Linked DNA regions of Saccharomyces cerevisiae S288C. Changing the gene in region 4 together with the main gene of any one other region gives a genetic interaction. Each region holds a gene or a part of one and is shown on either strand. Other genes may lie near its edges. The genes, in order: AFG2, YNR064C, STF2 and TCB1.

The links.
Region 1: mutations in TCB1 (region 4) and AFG2 together harm fitness more than expected from each alone (negative genetic interaction), as found in Saccharomyces cerevisiae (one large-scale study listed by BioGRID).
Region 2: mutations in TCB1 (region 4) and YNR064C together harm fitness more than expected from each alone (negative genetic interaction), as found in Saccharomyces cerevisiae (one large-scale study listed by BioGRID).
Region 3: mutations in TCB1 (region 4) and STF2 together harm fitness less than expected from each alone (positive genetic interaction), as found in Saccharomyces cerevisiae (one large-scale study listed by BioGRID).

The regions. Positions count from the first base shown.
Region 1 is NC_001144.5:912,050-916,442, forward strand, and holds AFG2 (AAA family ATPase AFG2), read right to left. Parts: upstream 2,844-4,393; coding exon 501-2,843; downstream 1-500. Other genes in the region: tethering complex ATP-binding subunit VPS33, read right to left, coding at 1-261; SKI complex RNA helicase subunit SKI2, read right to left, coding at 3,107-4,393. UniProt on the Saccharomyces cerevisiae protein: ATP-dependent chaperone which uses the energy provided by ATP hydrolysis to generate mechanical force to disassemble protein complexes.
Region 2 is NC_001146.8:748,477-751,568, reverse strand, and holds YNR064C (epoxide hydrolase), read left to right. Parts: upstream 1-1,560; coding exon 1,561-2,433; downstream 2,434-3,092. Other genes in the region: YNR065C (uncharacterized protein), read left to right, coding at 1-1,219; PUL4 (Pul4p), read right to left, coding at 2,803-3,092.
Region 3 is NC_001139.9:507,448-510,315, reverse strand, and holds STF2 (ATPase-stabilizing factor family protein), read left to right. Parts: upstream 1-1,951; coding exon 1,952-2,206; downstream 2,207-2,868. Other genes in the region: SEC9 (Sec9p), read left to right, coding at 1-1,269; ECT1 (ethanolamine-phosphate cytidylyltransferase), read right to left, coding at 2,376-2,868. UniProt on the Saccharomyces cerevisiae protein: Found to stabilize, together with STF1, a complex of intrinsic ATPase inhibitor INH1 and proton-translocating ATPase (F(1)F(0)-ATPase) in mitochondrial membranes. Binds to the F0 part and may function to hold the ATPase inhibitor or STF1 on the F1 subunit.
Region 4 is NC_001147.6:482,719-488,488, reverse strand, and holds TCB1 (tricalbin), read left to right. Parts: upstream 1-1,709; coding exon 1,710-5,270; downstream 5,271-5,770. Other genes in the region: YVC1 (Yvc1p), read right to left, coding at 1-782; dolichyl-diphosphooligosaccharide--protein glycotransferase OST3, read right to left, coding at 5,404-5,770. UniProt on the Saccharomyces cerevisiae protein: May play a role in membrane trafficking.

The DNA.
Region 1 (4,393 bases), on a different chromosome or scaffold from region 4:
AATAAGAAAAATAAGATCCATTTGCGGAACGCTGCCTAAGGCACTCGGTAAATCGTCACTTAGCTGATCATCGAGTAACGTAATTTTCCTTACAGGAGTTGATTGAGTCAAATCTTGGAAAGTTAGCAAACTATTGAGTACTGGCAATACACTTGGTTGAACCACAAGAACTTCATCATTTTGAGATATCTCATTTAAGGTAGCACATAGTCCATCGGCATTTGTTAATGAAAATTTCTTAGTATTCCAAAATCTATTCATCGTGAAATGATTTGATAAAGTTGGAGATGGGCAATATCAGCTTTTTCTTCCTTTCTCGAATTTTCTATCTTTTAACTAATTAACATATAACTAGTTCCAATTTGCTAACCTTTATGATATTTTATTTATGTATGTTCGTGTGAAGTGATTAATATATTATACAAAATGACCGGAGTTCAGTATAATTTCTATCTACTATTATTGAGCACACAAAGGAAAAGAATTGACTATGAACAAGCTTACGAAGATGAACCGCTTCTTAGAGCAAACTCTTCATAATAAGAGAGCATTTCTGGAGTAATGCCCCTAGCAATTCCTTTAAAAGCTTTCTCAAAATGACGTAATTCCACTTTTGCGACATCTAAATCTTCCATTATGGCAGCCAAGCCCGCTTCTTGACAAAGCAGCACAACTTCAGCTCCGGAATAACCTTCTGTACGGTCTGCCAATTCATGAAGATCGACTCCAGACTCTTCTGTATTAAATTTCTTTGTGCACTTCTTTAAGATTTCCAAGCGGGCGTTTACGTCTGGAGGGCCAACGTAAATGTGTCTATCTAACCTACCAGGCCTTAGAAGAGCAGCATCTATTTCATCAGGTCTATTCGTCGCCGCTACAATAACTACACCCTTTAACTCTTCAACACCATCAATCTCATTGAGTAAAGATGTGAGCACGTGATTAGCTGCAGAGGTGGAACTCCCGTCTCTATCAGGAGATAATGCATCGATTTCATCAAAGAAGATAATACTTGGAGCTGCAGAGCGTGCTTTGCGGAAAATTTCTCTTATAGCTCTTTCGGATTCCCCTACATACTTGTTAAAAATTTCAGGCCCTTTCACAGCTAAGAAGTTGATACCCGATTCTGTAGCGAGAGCTTTTGCGGTTAATGTCTTGGAGCAACCTGGCGGCCCGTAAAGTAATACACCTTTTGGTGCAGAAATTCCCAGCCTGGCAAAAGTCTCCGAAGCCTCCAAAGGCAACTGTATCATTTCTTTCATCTTTGTTTTAAGCTCTTCTTGGCCGCCAATGTCAGACCAATAAACTTTTGGCATTTCTAAGAAGATTTCTCTCATTGCGCTGGGTCTGATATCAACCATGGCGCTCTCCACATCTTTCAATGTAACTTTTAGGGAAAACTTGTCAATATTGGCGTCTGTTCCTAGTCCTCGTTGTATCGTCTTCATAACTGATTCTCTGCAGAGAGCAGTTAAATCAGCACCAACATAGCCATGCGTTTTAGAAGCAATGTACTTGATCGCTTCAGAATCTAATACGTGACGATCCGAGGACATTCTTGAGAATTGCTTAGTTAAAATGTCAAATCTGGCATCAACGTCTGGTATACCAATTTCTACTTCTTGGTCAAACCTGCCAGGTCTCCTGAGAGCAGGGTCGACAGAATTAGGCCTGTTTGTAGCAGCAATTACCACCACTTTACCTGCAGCGCCCATGCCATCCATTAGGGTAAGCAATGTAGCCACGACTCTGCTCTCAACTTCACCGGAGTCATCGTTTGCTCTATTTGGTGCTATTGAATCAATTTCGTCAATGAAAATAATGGAAGGCTGGTACTTCCTTGCTTCATTAAAAATATCTCTTAATGCCGCTTCCGTTTCACCAAGATATTTGGAGACGATTGAGGGGCCATTAATGGTTAGGACGTGTGCGTTGGACGTATTTGCTACAACTCTCAAAAGCATAGTTTTACCAGTACCTGGGGGTCCGTGAAGAAGTATACCTCGAGGGGGAGAAACACCAAAGCTACTAAATAGCGTCGGTTGATGAAGAGGTATTTCAATAGCACTTTTCAGTGATTCAATCTCCTTGTCTAAGCCGCCCACTGCTGCATAGGATAAGGGCTCCGGAAGATTGTATTTACGATTTGCCTGGGTTTCTTTCGAAAAAGTTATATGTGTGGAGCCTTTTCTGAATATAAAAGGTGGAGATAGATAAAACAGGTTATCTAATCCACCGTACATATCGTCCATGTTAAGATCTAGTTGGCTGACGTCGGGAAGCGAATCATCGCTCGCATCTGTAATTACGACATCAATGCTTTCATCACCTGCTTTTGTTTTTAAGTTTTGAAAAATCATTCCAGGCATTATAACGCCACTATCATCCAGTAGCTTTTGAATTACTTTTTCCTCCATACATTCCAAAATATTATATCCTTGTAAGGACCCCACGGTAACCTTAGTGGCATAAGGTGGTTGCACCTGGGCTTTCTTTAATTCTAGACGATCACCAAGGATAAGGTTCCCAACAGATCGTATAGTTGTGGAAAGGGTGATAACATTAACAGGATGTACTTCTTCATCACCCGCTCTAGCTATTACTAAAATACCATTTTCGCCTATCTTACCGACAGTACAAAATGATCCCGGATTTATCTCAAGCGAGGATAATACGTTAGGATGAATATATGCTGTGCATGTTTCCTTGCCATGATCTTTAGAAGGATGTGGTCTGGTAATAAATTCAGCAGGCAATTTAAATTTGGATGCTTTTGCATCAGCACTATTAGAACTTGCCGATGATTTCTTTTTGGAACCGGAAGAACTAGATTTAGGAGCCATTTTCCTTTCTATGATTGGGCAATTTTGAGAATGGGCAATGTTGAGAATTCAATTGTATATTGTTCGCATATTAGTTTATGTGATGAGGCAATATAAAATTTTCTTACAATAGTCCGCCCGTTGCTTACATGAAAGAAAAAAAAAATAAAGATGGATCGAAGTGGACTTAAAAACTATGTATACGTGTGTGTGTGTGTGTGCAATAAGAGTTCGAAAACATTAACTTTTATAAACATGACTCACATTGAGAATAAATGAGCTCTCTATAAATACAAACTTGCGGCGAAAACAATATCTCTCTTAATCAACTCTTGAGCCCTGCTCATCTTCATATGTAATGTGGAATTACCAATAATAATAGAGGCAGTCTTAACTTCGCGGCAAATTTCGTCTAGCCAAGTGATAACTCTGACTACAGTACCTTCAGCCTCGGGGCTCATTTCCATGATTTCTTTGAATGATAAACCACGGGCCCACTCATACACCACATTCATCATGGCAAACCTTTTTCTGTCCAAAAACTCAGCTTCATCCTGAGTTAATGGAATCTGATGCGTATTGAAAACACAAAGCATTTTCTTGTAAATTTCCTCAATTCTTTGTTTACCCTTTGCTAGCCTTGGTGTGACAATAGGAGGCTCCTCTTCCCTGGTTTTCCCCTCATAAACAAATACTGATAATAAGGCTACAATCTCTTCAGGTTCAAAGCTTCCTAAAAAGTTGTCTAAAATTAATTCAGTTAAAACTAACTCATAACCAGAATTAATTTCACATGCCACTCTACCTTTTAACAGCACGTTGTGGTTTTGGTCGATAAATTCAGTGTCTTTCAGAACAGCCAATCTCTTTTCATAATCGGGTAGTAAGCTCAGATTTTGGTCAGACATCAAATGGTACAATTCTTCAATTTTCTTTTTAATTACATGCGCCTTAAACTTGGGAACAATGTGTTGGCTTAGGTTGGGACATTTAATGCTTTTTAGTTTGAATATCTCATCCCTTATATTTGTACGGTCTAACAATATTTGGTGAATTTTTAAACCTTGCTTTTCAATGTTAATTGCTTCTTTTAGCGTTTTGCCGTCCAAAATGTTATTTGTTTCAGCGTTAAACTCGTTCAAAGCGGCAACATCCTTTTTAATCACTTTTCCCAAGGGTGCGGCAAACTTGCGTTTAGTGATCACTTCAATAGCCGTCACAGGAACTTCTTCCATATAAAAATCAGTCTTCTGGAATTTAGGGAAGTTCCTTCTTCTGTATCCATCCGCTTTTGGAAAGTATATTAAATGATTTGGCTCACCATTTGGGAGTTTGTATGGTTTTGTGAACGTCATAATGACACAAACAGCATCCTTCAGAGAAACTTTAAATACAAATCCTAATTTCAAGCAATCATTGGGGTCCCTAAAAGCAACGAGTCTGCCCTCTTTCAAGATATGCAATATCGAAGGCGATTTAACCATTTCTTGCATTAGGTTGACTGTTGCCTCCTTATATGCCAGCATCAATTCCAAAAACTTTTCGATATCATTATCACAGATTTCACAACT
Region 2 (3,092 bases), on a different chromosome or scaffold from region 4:
TGGAGTCTTGGTTTTGGTCCCCGAAAACGCAGAAACTGATTCTATTTCTTACTCCACCGATTTTGGTAAAACATGGAAAGATTATAAATTCTGTGGCGACAAAGTCCTCGTAAAGGATATAATCACCGTTCCCAGAGATTCTGCTTTGAGGTTTTTGCTATTTGGAGAAGCAAAAAACATGGGTAGTGGTTCATTCAGAACGTATACAATTGATTTTAGAAACATCTTCGAGAGGCAATGTGAGTTTGATATTACGGGTAAAAAAAGGGCAGATTTTAAGTACTCTCCTCTGGGTTCCAGAACTGGTTGTCTATTTGGTCATCAAACCGAGTTTTTACGTAAAACCGATGAAAAATGTTTTATTGGGAATATTCCACTTTCTGAATTTTCGAGGAACGTCAAAAACTGTTCATGTACGAGGCAAGATTTCGAATGTGACTATAATTTTTATAAAGCCAGTGATGGTACTTGTAAATTAGTCAAAGGCTTAAGTTCGGCGAATGGTGCCGATATCTGCAAAAAGGAACCCGACTTAATTGAATACTATGATTCCTCTGGCTATCGAAAAATTCCCTTATCAACCTGTAAAGGTGGGCTGAAATTGGATGCACATTTAGCACCACATCCTTGTCCGGGAAAAGAAAAGGCATTCAGGGAAAAATATTCTATAAACACCGGCGCTTATGCGCTGGTTTTTGTTACAATTCTTCTCGTTATTTTCTTTGCCGCATGGTTTGTATACGATAGAGGTATCAGGAGAAATGGGGGATTTTCAAGATTTGAAGAAATAAGATTAGGAGACGATGGGCTGATAGAAAACAATAGGACCGATAGAGTTGTCAACATCATTGTAAGACTAGGATTATGCATTTCTTTAATTACCAAGTCTGCATTTCAACGCACGAAGGCAGGTGTAGCACGCTTTTCTTCAAAATTAAGGGCAAGGTTTGGCAACAGAAAAGGTCCTACTTACTCTTCGCTGCTTCAGGGTCAGTTTTCAGATGAATCAGATGGCTTGCATGAAGATGCTAACGATTTATCCAGTTTCACAAGTCAAGACAGTAATTTTGAAATTGAACAAGAAGATGCTTACAGACCCGAACAAGAGCACACGTCACAGATAGACCAGCCTGCCACTAGCAATATTCCAGACGCATTGCCAGCACGTAGTGCTATTCACAAGCCTGATTCAACTGCTGTGCGCAACGAGGACGAGTAAATAGATTTTTTTAATAGACTAAATAATCGTATGTTTGCTAACAAAAAGTACGCATATGCATTTTCTCAATATTGTGCATTTTCTAAATCTCCATTCACCTTTGTTATTAACATAGTCATTTAAAGGTATGATAATTCAGTATTCATCTTTTCCACAGACGGCGCTGCATGCCATTCGTCTGTAACTTGCCTAGGGACTGCGCCGCACATAATCGTGACAGAAATTTCAAAAGTGATAGGAGCCAAAAGTGATAGGAGCCAAAAAGAACATATATAAGCACGATCAAATTAACTGAACTTGACCACTTTTCTTTCACTGTCAGAATTGGACGAAGGACAAAAATGTCAAATATCATTGCAAGATTTCACAAGATTCAAGTTCAAGACGGTGTAAAGGTTTGGTACCGTGAGGCCGGTGCAGCAGGTAACCCCACAATTTTATTGCTACATGGGTTCCCTACATCTTCCAACATGTTCAGGAACCTCATTCCCTTACTAGCTGGACAGTTTCACATCATTGCTCCGGATCTTCCTGGGTTCGGATTTACGGAAACGCCAGAAAACTACAAGTTCAGCTTTGATTCCCTTTGTGAAAGTATAGGATATTTGTTAGATACTTTGAGTATTGAAAAATTTGCCATGTATATATTTGATTATGGATCTCCGGTAGGTTTTCGGTTAGCCTTGAAGTTTCCCTCCAGAATTACTGGCATTGTTACTCAAAACGGTAATGCTTACGAAGAGGGTCTCGATGACCGCTTTTGGGGTCCGTTGAAGGAATATTGGAAGTCATATCAAAGTGATCCGGTATTTGTTAAATCCCTTATCCCGTACCTTGAAGATCCAGCTAATGTCATATGCCAGTACCATGATGGAGTACCAGCTATCGAATCTGTTGATCCCGCCGCTTATACGCTTGATATTGCGCTAATTCAGCGTACCGGCCAGACCGATATTCAATTGAGATTATTTTTCGATTATCAGAATAATATAAAGTTGTACCCAGCCTTTCAAAAGTTCTTGAGAGATTCAAAGATTCCTGTGCTAGTTGCATGGGGTGCGAATGATACTATTTTTAGCGTTGCCGGGGCTGAAGCTTATCGGAAAGACGTTGATAATTTAAAGGTTGTTTACTATGATACTGGCCATTTTGCGCTTGAAACTCACGTAGTTGCTATTGCCGAAGAAATCATCAGTATGTTTGCAGAAAATTAAAGATACTAAGTTCTTGTGACAATGTTTTCTGAGAAGAATCTCTCGTATTTTGTTTAATTGCCAAAAACACATATGTTTCGACTCACATAGAGTTGCCTCAGAGCGTTCTTTTGTTACCCATTATTGCTCATAAATAAGTCAAAACAGATGTCTGGTCGCATTATCAAGGGTTTGTACTGGTAGCCCGGTGACAATATATTAATCTAAGCATATAACATTTTTAGTAAGTTCTTCAGCCACCTTTTTTACGATCTATGTTGTTTTGAAGGGTAAACCTACTACCATGTCATATGGATCTTTCCCCTAGTAAACTTGTATCTCAAAAGGTCATTTCTGAATAAAGTGTCAAAAAATCAGCTAGGAAACGGTTTAGTAAAGTATGCGACCCCAAAATTCGACAAAGCTATCACCACTCAGCTGTACTGGACTGATCGGATATTTGATTATATCAATAAGGTTTTGTTCAATAGGAAGTACCTGAACTAAATCTTGCAATATTTCCAATGCTAGAATGTATTCAAATAGTTCAGTACCTTTAAGGAACTGCACCACCTGCTTATACCTTAGGAGTATAATACATGAAATACATAATGTCAGTGACGCTGTTCTTAAAGGATAACAAAAATTCCAATCCAAACGTTCATGCCTTTCCTTTTCGT
Region 3 (2,868 bases), on a different chromosome or scaffold from region 4:
AGAAATCCTTACGCTGATATGAATAGTTATGGCGGGGCGTATGACTCCAATACTAATAGATCTAGCGGTACTCGACAAGGAAGCTCCAAGAATGCAAATCCATACGCCTCTATGGCGAACGACTCATATAGTAATGGAAATTTGAACAGGTCTGCAAATCCATATTCTAGTAGAAGTGTGCGTCAACCGCAATCGCAACAAGCTCCAATGACTTATACGCCCTCTTTTATTGCTTCTGATGAAGCAGCACGCAATAGTGAAGTTGATTTAAATGAAGAACCTAGAACAGGTGAATTTGATTTTGAAGAAGTTTATGCTGACAAGTCTGCAGAAAATAGAGCGGCATTAGATGAGCCTGATTTGAATGCAGTAATGACGAATGAAGATTCAATAGATTTAAATGCGTCCGAAGTTGATCATAGTTCAAGACAGCAGCAGCAGCAACAGTGGTTCATGGATGAGCAGCAACAGCAACAGCAACACTTTAACGCAACAAATAACCAATATGGAGATCAAAGGGGTTACAAAACATTTGAAGAAATACAAAAAGAAGAGGAGGCTCGCCAGCAGCAGGAAGAAGATGAAGCAGTAGATGAAATCAAGCAGGAGATCAAATTTACGAAACAGAGTTCCGTAGCCTCTACTAGAAATACACTAAAAATGGCTCAAGACGCCGAAAGAGCAGGTATGAACACATTGGGTATGCTGGGTCATCAAAGTGAACAATTGAATAACGTAGAAGGAAACTTAGATTTAATGAAGGTGCAAAATAAAGTTGCAGATGAAAAAGTTGCAGAACTAAAAAAATTGAACCGTAGTATATTGGCTGTCCATGTTTCTAATCCGTTTAATTCCAAGAGAAGGAGAAGGGAGAGGGAAGAGCAGCTGAAGAATAGGAAAATTGAAGAAAAATTAATGAGAGAGCAAACAAGTCAACAATTGTCTCAGTCCACTCAAAGAATAGAGGGTGCTATGAACGCAAATAATAACATAAGTGAGGTGCGGGAAAGATATCAGAGGAAGAATGTTCTAGAAAAGGCAAAGAGATATCAGTTTGAGAATGATGAAGAAGATGACGAAATGGAATTGGAAATTGATAGGAATTTGGACCAGATTCAGCAGGTTAGCAACAGATTGAAGAAAATGGCCTTGACCACTGGTAAAGAATTAGACTCTCAGCAAAAACGTCTCAACAACATTGAGGAAAGCACTGATGATCTAGATATCAATCTCCATATGAATACCAACAGGTTGGCAGGTATCAGATAGAATATGCCTGTAAAAACTATGTAATATATCACAAGTAACAACATTTCATCACCATTACTACCATTATGTAGAAATTTATGAGCAAAGACAAATAAGTAAAGAAAAAGACATTGATATAATATAAGAGTATGCTTTCTTCATTTTAATGTTTGGTTGTGAATTGAAAGAATACCATTCGGGCACGCAATAGTTATGAACTTAACCGAGCTCAAATAATTTAAAGATAAAAGATAAAAGATAAAAGATAAAAGACAAAAGAAAATTCATAGCCCATGTTGAAGTATCCCAGCGGGAAATGTTGCTATCCAACAGAAAGTACCAAGCCAGTTTCAAAAAGGTACAGAATTAAGTGATGCTATCCGTCCCACAACTAATTTTCTCCAGCGGAGGAAATATACGCGGAGGGGGGGAGGAAAACCTCTCAGTAAGCAATGAAGGGATAGATAATGGGGGCGCGCCTGCCTAGCTTAGGCTAAGAAACTCCTTCGAAAACAGGGGGCTGCGAGCGCAGAAGCGAACACTTGTCATTTGTATAAAAGGACTATTTATAAGTTTGCTTTTTGTCACTCTCTTGGCCCTAATTACCCATACTATTGTAACAATTGTTGTGTAAACTCAATTATACAAATAAACGAACAATCAACAGTAACAAACCGCTCAAGTGTACAACCAATCAGAAAAAATGACGAGAACAAACAAGTGGACCGAACGTGAAGGAAAGGCTGATCCAAAGTACTTTTCGCACACTGGTAACTACGGTGAATCTCCAAATCACATCAAGAAGCAAGGTTCCGGCAAGGGTAATTGGGGTAAGCCAGGCGATGAGATTGATGACTTAATTGATAATGGTGAAATACCCCCAGTGTTCAAGAAAGATAGAAGAGGCTCAAATTTGCAATCGCATGAACAAAAGTTTGAAAACGTCCAAAAGGAATGAGGGCGTTTTCAAGATAAAAAAAGGTTTTTTGATCTCTGAAGGATAGTGGCCTTCTCCACTGATTTATATGCATCTATAGGTATATACTTGCATGCCTACTTCATGACTTATGTAATACAGTTTTCTTACATCCATTTAATTTACGTTCGAAGAAGTTTTCAACATTTGTTTATATGGACATTCCCTTTTTTTGGTTCCTCGCAATGTAAACCTCCCTTTGCGATTCCACCCTCTTCACAATAAGCTCTTTAGTCAAGTATTCACTGAATTTTCCGGCAGCAGTGAGGACAGCCGTGCCAATATGATACTTCTCGCAGTTATACTGAGACATTGAGGTGGCGTCAGCATCGATAATAACGGCATCAACATATTTACAACTTAAAACGCTCAAGACGCGTTCCTTCATCGTCATAATGGTACTCGAGTAATCGCTTGTGGTAATACCAACAATCAATTTCTTATCGGGGTGAAGATCCATTTTCAGCTTTCTTAACTGATCAATATCCCCCATATGGAATAAGTCAAAATCCCCGTCAACATAAACACAATCTTCTGCATCGAATTTGTATCCACCATTGACCAAGACATTGTCCAAATCCCTCTGAAAGACATAACAATGTTTTGAAACGGCATCTTGGGCGACAGAATAGAAACTCAATTCC
Region 4 (5,770 bases):
TCAGAGTCCTTACCATTAACCACCAAGGTATAAAGCCCTAGAAACAAAAATGAGAAGATCATCTGCAAATAATTTTGGTATACAGGCGCCTTTAATCTTACGGGGTTGAAATGAGAGATCAATGACACTTCCGCCAGTGAATCGTCCTTGATAAAAGTTGTGGGATCCAAGCCATTTTGGACTATCCATCCTCTCCATATCCATTTTAAACAACGCTGAAATCCACTCGATCCTATCACTGTAGTACAGTGCATATCTGTGGCAAGTTCCAAGGCATTCAACGGTTCTTGATCTTCATCGTTCTCGTTGATTACGTACCGACGCAGCAGTAACTGCATGAAAAGAAACTGCAGGTCTCTTGTCTCCTCCCTTTCAATTAACAATTTACATAACTGTTGTGAGGCTAAATTTCTGGTTTCGTAAAGTTTGGCATTGTGCACTTCCATAGTGGCCAATATGGAATACCACTCACAAACTTTAAGAAGTGAAAAAATAATGACAGATTGATATTTTCTTTTGTTGGCCTTGTCTTTAGGGTTCCCGCCACATGCTTCATAAGCCAGCTTCACAACTTTTGGAGATAAAATCTCAGAATGGTCACAAACAATATCATTGGGATCGTAAACAATAGGTACGACCTTATCAATTAAGTATTTCAAATTTAACGTAACCCTGAGAATCTGTCTCGGAGTGGGGGCCTCAAATCCAAGAGATCCATTGTTTTCCGGCATGCACTGTTCGTTAGAAATTGGCAAGTGCAAGTCGCCGTTGGCTGATACCATAATGCTCCTGTTCTAGTAATATTATATTTTATAACTGAATTCTATTGCCTTACCAAGCCACTGATTAATGACAATTGCATTGAATAGGCTCTAGCTGATCCTCGAAGGATACTGACTAAATTTACCACATATTTTCAGCTCTTATGAGATAACTCCGACATAGCAACAGTGTAGGAGAAAAATTAAAAAATTAACGACCCCAGTGAGGGTTGAACTCACGATCTTGCGATTAACAGTCGCACGCCTTAACCAACTTGGCCATGGAGTCTAACTTTGTTGTTTTAGAGAACGAATGAAGAACTTATTATGACGATAAAAATATGTCAAGAGAGGCCCAAGAATGTATAAATCATTGTAAAACCAAGCAAGTAACAAAAATGGTCATGTGACAAGAGGTGGTGACATAAAAATAACCAAAGGACTAATAACTAGAGAAACAATAAAATGAGAAACTAAAAAAAGAAATAAAGCATTGAAAATCTCATTAGACTAGTTGGCTCATTTCCATGGCAAAATGTACAATTGTATCTCAGTAACGTTATACTCGCTCCCTTTTTAGGCCAATTTTATCCATTATTCTCATTCTAAAATAGCGGACATAACGAGAAAACGATTTACGTTAGAAGTGATAACAACTTTGGCGACCGGAATGCTGCATGAAAAATTATAACAAAAGGCCCCTCAAAAAGCTAAGGGACAGGGATGTTGCTGCAATTGGAATAGTATAATCGGCCGTCAAAATTATCAACTAATAGCATTGGCTACTCCAATTTGGACTTACTGGCTGGTAATTGACTTGTATAGCATTGTCTTAGCTTATTATTTTTTTTTTGCTGAAGAATAAGTAGGATAATTGAAGAAGAATAGCTAAGATAAAAAAAGATAGCTAGTGCATTCTGAAAACTTCAATTGCGTGGTACATACAATATGGCCAAAGAAGATACTGGGGTAACAGCACCAAAGAAGCCCGAAACAGCCCAAGTAGCTAACATAAATGGGATAGATAAGTTAGAACCTCCAAAGACGAAAGAGGAAACCGAATCCAGTAAAAGCGTGTCATCTGAGAAGGCGGCACATGCTAGTGATGAAAGCTTCAAGAGAAGTATCCATGAAGCTTCTTATGTCGGCTGGAAACAGATTGGTGGCTGGGAAGACAAAGACGAATTAACTTTAGATGATGAATTGATGGATATGACTAGAGAAACCTTCTTAGATAACATCATACCGGACAGCCTTTACGGTGACTGGTATCATTCGGTAGCCATTTTCTTTATCGGAGGCGTGGCATCATTTGCACTTGGTCATTATAAGTTTTCAATGGGGTCGGCCTTTTTTGTCATCGTTATCACTTCATTGTTGTATAGAACCTCTGCTAAAAAATACAGAGGTTCCATAAGAGAGTTAGTCCAGAAAGAGTTCACGGTGCAGAAAGTGGAAAACGACTATGAATCCCTAGAATGGTTGAATGCCTTTTTGGATAAGTACTGGCCCATTTTAGAACCTTCCGTTAGTCAATTAATCGTTCAGCAAGCTAATGAACAAATGGCTACTAATGAGGCGATTCCCAAATTTATTACTCAACTATGGATCGATGAGTTGACACTTGGTGTTAAACCCCCCAGAGTTGATTTGGTGAAGACTTTCCAAAACACTGCATCCGATGTTGTTGTGATGGACTGGGGTATTTCTTTTACTCCTCACGATTTATGCGACATGAGTGCTAAGCAAGTCAGAAATTACGTTAATGAATTAGCGGTTGTTAAGGCCAAAATTTTTGGTATCACCATCCCTGTTTCTGTGTCAGACATTGCTTTCAAGGCTCATGCTAGAGTGAAATTCAAATTGATGACTCCCTTCCCTCATGTCGAAACTGTTAATATCCAGCTACTGAAGGTTCCTGATTTTGATTTTGTTGCTACCTTATTCGGCCGTTCCATCTTCAATTGGGAAATTTTAGCTATCCCAGGCCTTATGACACTAATACAAAAGATGGCCAAGAAATATATGGGTCCAATCTTGTTACCTCCATTTTCTTTACAATTGAACATTCCACAACTCTTATCTGGTTCCAACTTGTCCATTGGTATATTAGAAATAACTGTCAAAAATGCAAAGGGGCTAAAACGTACCTCTTCGATATTGAACGAATCAATCGACCCTTACTTATCTTTCGAATTTAACGATATATCTATTGCCAAGACAAGAACCGTAAGAGACACATTGAACCCCGTTTGGGACGAAACTCTGTACGTCTTGTTAAACTCATTCACTGACCCCTTGACCATTAGTGTTTATGATAAGCGTGCAAAATTGAAGGATAAAGTCCTAGGCAGAATTCAGTACAACTTGAATACTTTACATGATAAAACCACGCAAAGAAACTTGAAAGCTCAGTTTTTAAGAAACTCTAAACCGGTTGGGGAATTGACTTTTGATTTAAGATTCTTCCCAACTTTAGAAGAGAAAAAGTTGCCGGATGGATCTGTGGAGGAACTACCGGATTTGAATACTGGTATTGCTAAAGTTGTGGTCGAAGAAGGTTCTCGTTTTGCTGAAGAAGAACAGAAGGTTACTGCCTACGTTGAAGTTTACTTGAATGCTAAACTAGTGTTAACCACTGGTAAGGCAACTGACACTGGTACATTGAAGTGGAATTCAGACTACGAAGCAGTTATTGCAGATCGTCGTAAAACAAGATATAAGTTTGTCGTCAAGGATGGCAAAGGAGAAGAAATTGGATCTACCATTCAAACCCTGAATGATTTAATAGATAGAAGCCAAGTGAACAAAAATTTGATTCCATTAAAAAACCAAAAGGGTGACATAAAGATTACCACATATTGGAGACCTGTTAGACTGGAGATTGGTTCCAACTCTGTAGCTTACACGCCACCAATTGGCGCCATCAGAGTATTCATTGAGAAGGCAAACGATTTGAGAAATTTGGAAAAGTTTGGTACCATTGATCCATACTGTAAAGTTTTGGTTAATGGTTTATCGAAGGGTAGAACTGATTTCAAGAGCCAAACTTTGAATCCTGTCTGGAATCAAGTTATTTATGTTGCAGTTACTTCACCAAACCAAAGAATTACGCTTCAATGTATGGATGTCGAAACAGTCAACAAAGATCGTTCACTTGGTGAATTCAATGTTAACGTTCAAGATTTATTTAAGAAGGATGAGAATGATAAATATGAGGAAACTATTGATGAAAAAGCTAAAGTTGGTCGTCTAGTGATGCCTAAGAAAAAACCTAAGGGCACTATAACATACTATACCTCCTTTTATCCCGCTTTACCTGTTTTAACGTTAGAGGAAATCCAAGATTTAGATAAAGTTAACAAAAAGAAAAAAGCATTGGAACTGCGTAAGTCAGCAATTGATGAGAAAAAAATTTCTAAAGAAGACAAAGCCAAATTTGATCAAGAATGGAATGAGGTCAAAGAATTGGAAGACATGTATAGTAATAGACAGAAATTGGATTTGCCAGAATTATTGCAATACAACCAAGGTGTTCTTGCTGTCACTGTCCTTAATGGGGAATTGCCCGACTCTGGGCTATACGTCCAAGCGTTTTTCGATGATAATGGTCATCCAAGATTTGTTAGTCCACGTATTCCATCGAGAATTGTCAAGAATGGTTGGTCAGGTGACGTGATCATAAAAGAATTGGACAAATCCATTACCACTTTTAGAGTTGCTAAAAATAAAAACTACAACAGAGTGGAGAAATGCGTTTGTGAAGTAGAACTACCCACACAAGAGTTAGTTAAGAACTGTTATTATAAGCCATCAATATTACATCTTTCAGGTGAAGGCAGTGCTAAACTAATGCTCCAAATATCATGGTTCCCTATTGATACAAAACAGTTGCCGGCAAATGACCTGATCACAAATTCTGGTGATTTGACGATTATGTCGAGGAGTGCAGAAAACTTGATAGCATCCGATTTAAATGGTTATTCGGACCCATACTTAAAGTATTACATCAATAATGAGGAAGACTGCGCTTACAAGACGAAGGTTGTTAAGAAAACTTTGAATCCTAAATGGAATGATGAAGGAACTATTCAAATCAATAACCGTTTAAATGATGTTCTAAGAATCAAAGTCATGGACTGGGATTCCACATCTGCGGATGATACCATTGGTACAGCAGAAATCCCATTGAATAAGGTCAAAGTCGAGGGTACTACCGAATTAGACGTACCGGTAGAAGGATTAGAGAACGCTGGTCAAGACGGTGGTATGTTGCATTTAGCTTTCAGCTTTAAGCCAAGATACACCATTAGCGTGAGTAAAAGAGAAAAGAAGGTCGGAGATATAGCATCCAAGGGACTAGGTACTGGTTTGAAAGCTGGTACGACCGTGATAGGCGGCGGTGTTGGTGCCATTGGCAAGATCAAGAAAGGGGTATTCGGTGGACTAGGCAGCCTCACAAACCATAAGAAGAATCATGAGATGGGCGAAGAAGAAACTAAGTTTTAGCGAGAAAGAGAGGGACAAGATGCACTGTGTAAAATATAAATTTCGTTTTATTTTCTTTTATATTTTTTAAAAATCTTTATCTAGTATAACTTTCCATCTCTTTGTTATGGTGAAAACAAAAAAAAAAACTGACTTATTTGAATGGTGCCGATAACCTTAGTAAAGGAAAAGGGTAAGCAGGACTCTTTATCGTGAACACGGTTGTCAAAGCAGCAAAGAAGACATAAATGAATAAGGCACAAAAGGAGGCCAAAATAGCATCAATGAAGTACGCTTTCTTGGTCTCTGGATACAAATGAGACCGCAAGAATTGTATACCCTTGACCAATACGACAACCAACGCGGCCAATGTTCCGTAAATAAGAACCATGACTTGAGTTTCAATGGCGAATTGGTGTTGGAATTCATTGGGCAAGAAATACATAACCTCGCCCTTAGGACCAACGCCTGCCAATTGGGTATTCCTGATTTGGTTGAACATATAGGCACTGATCATGCAA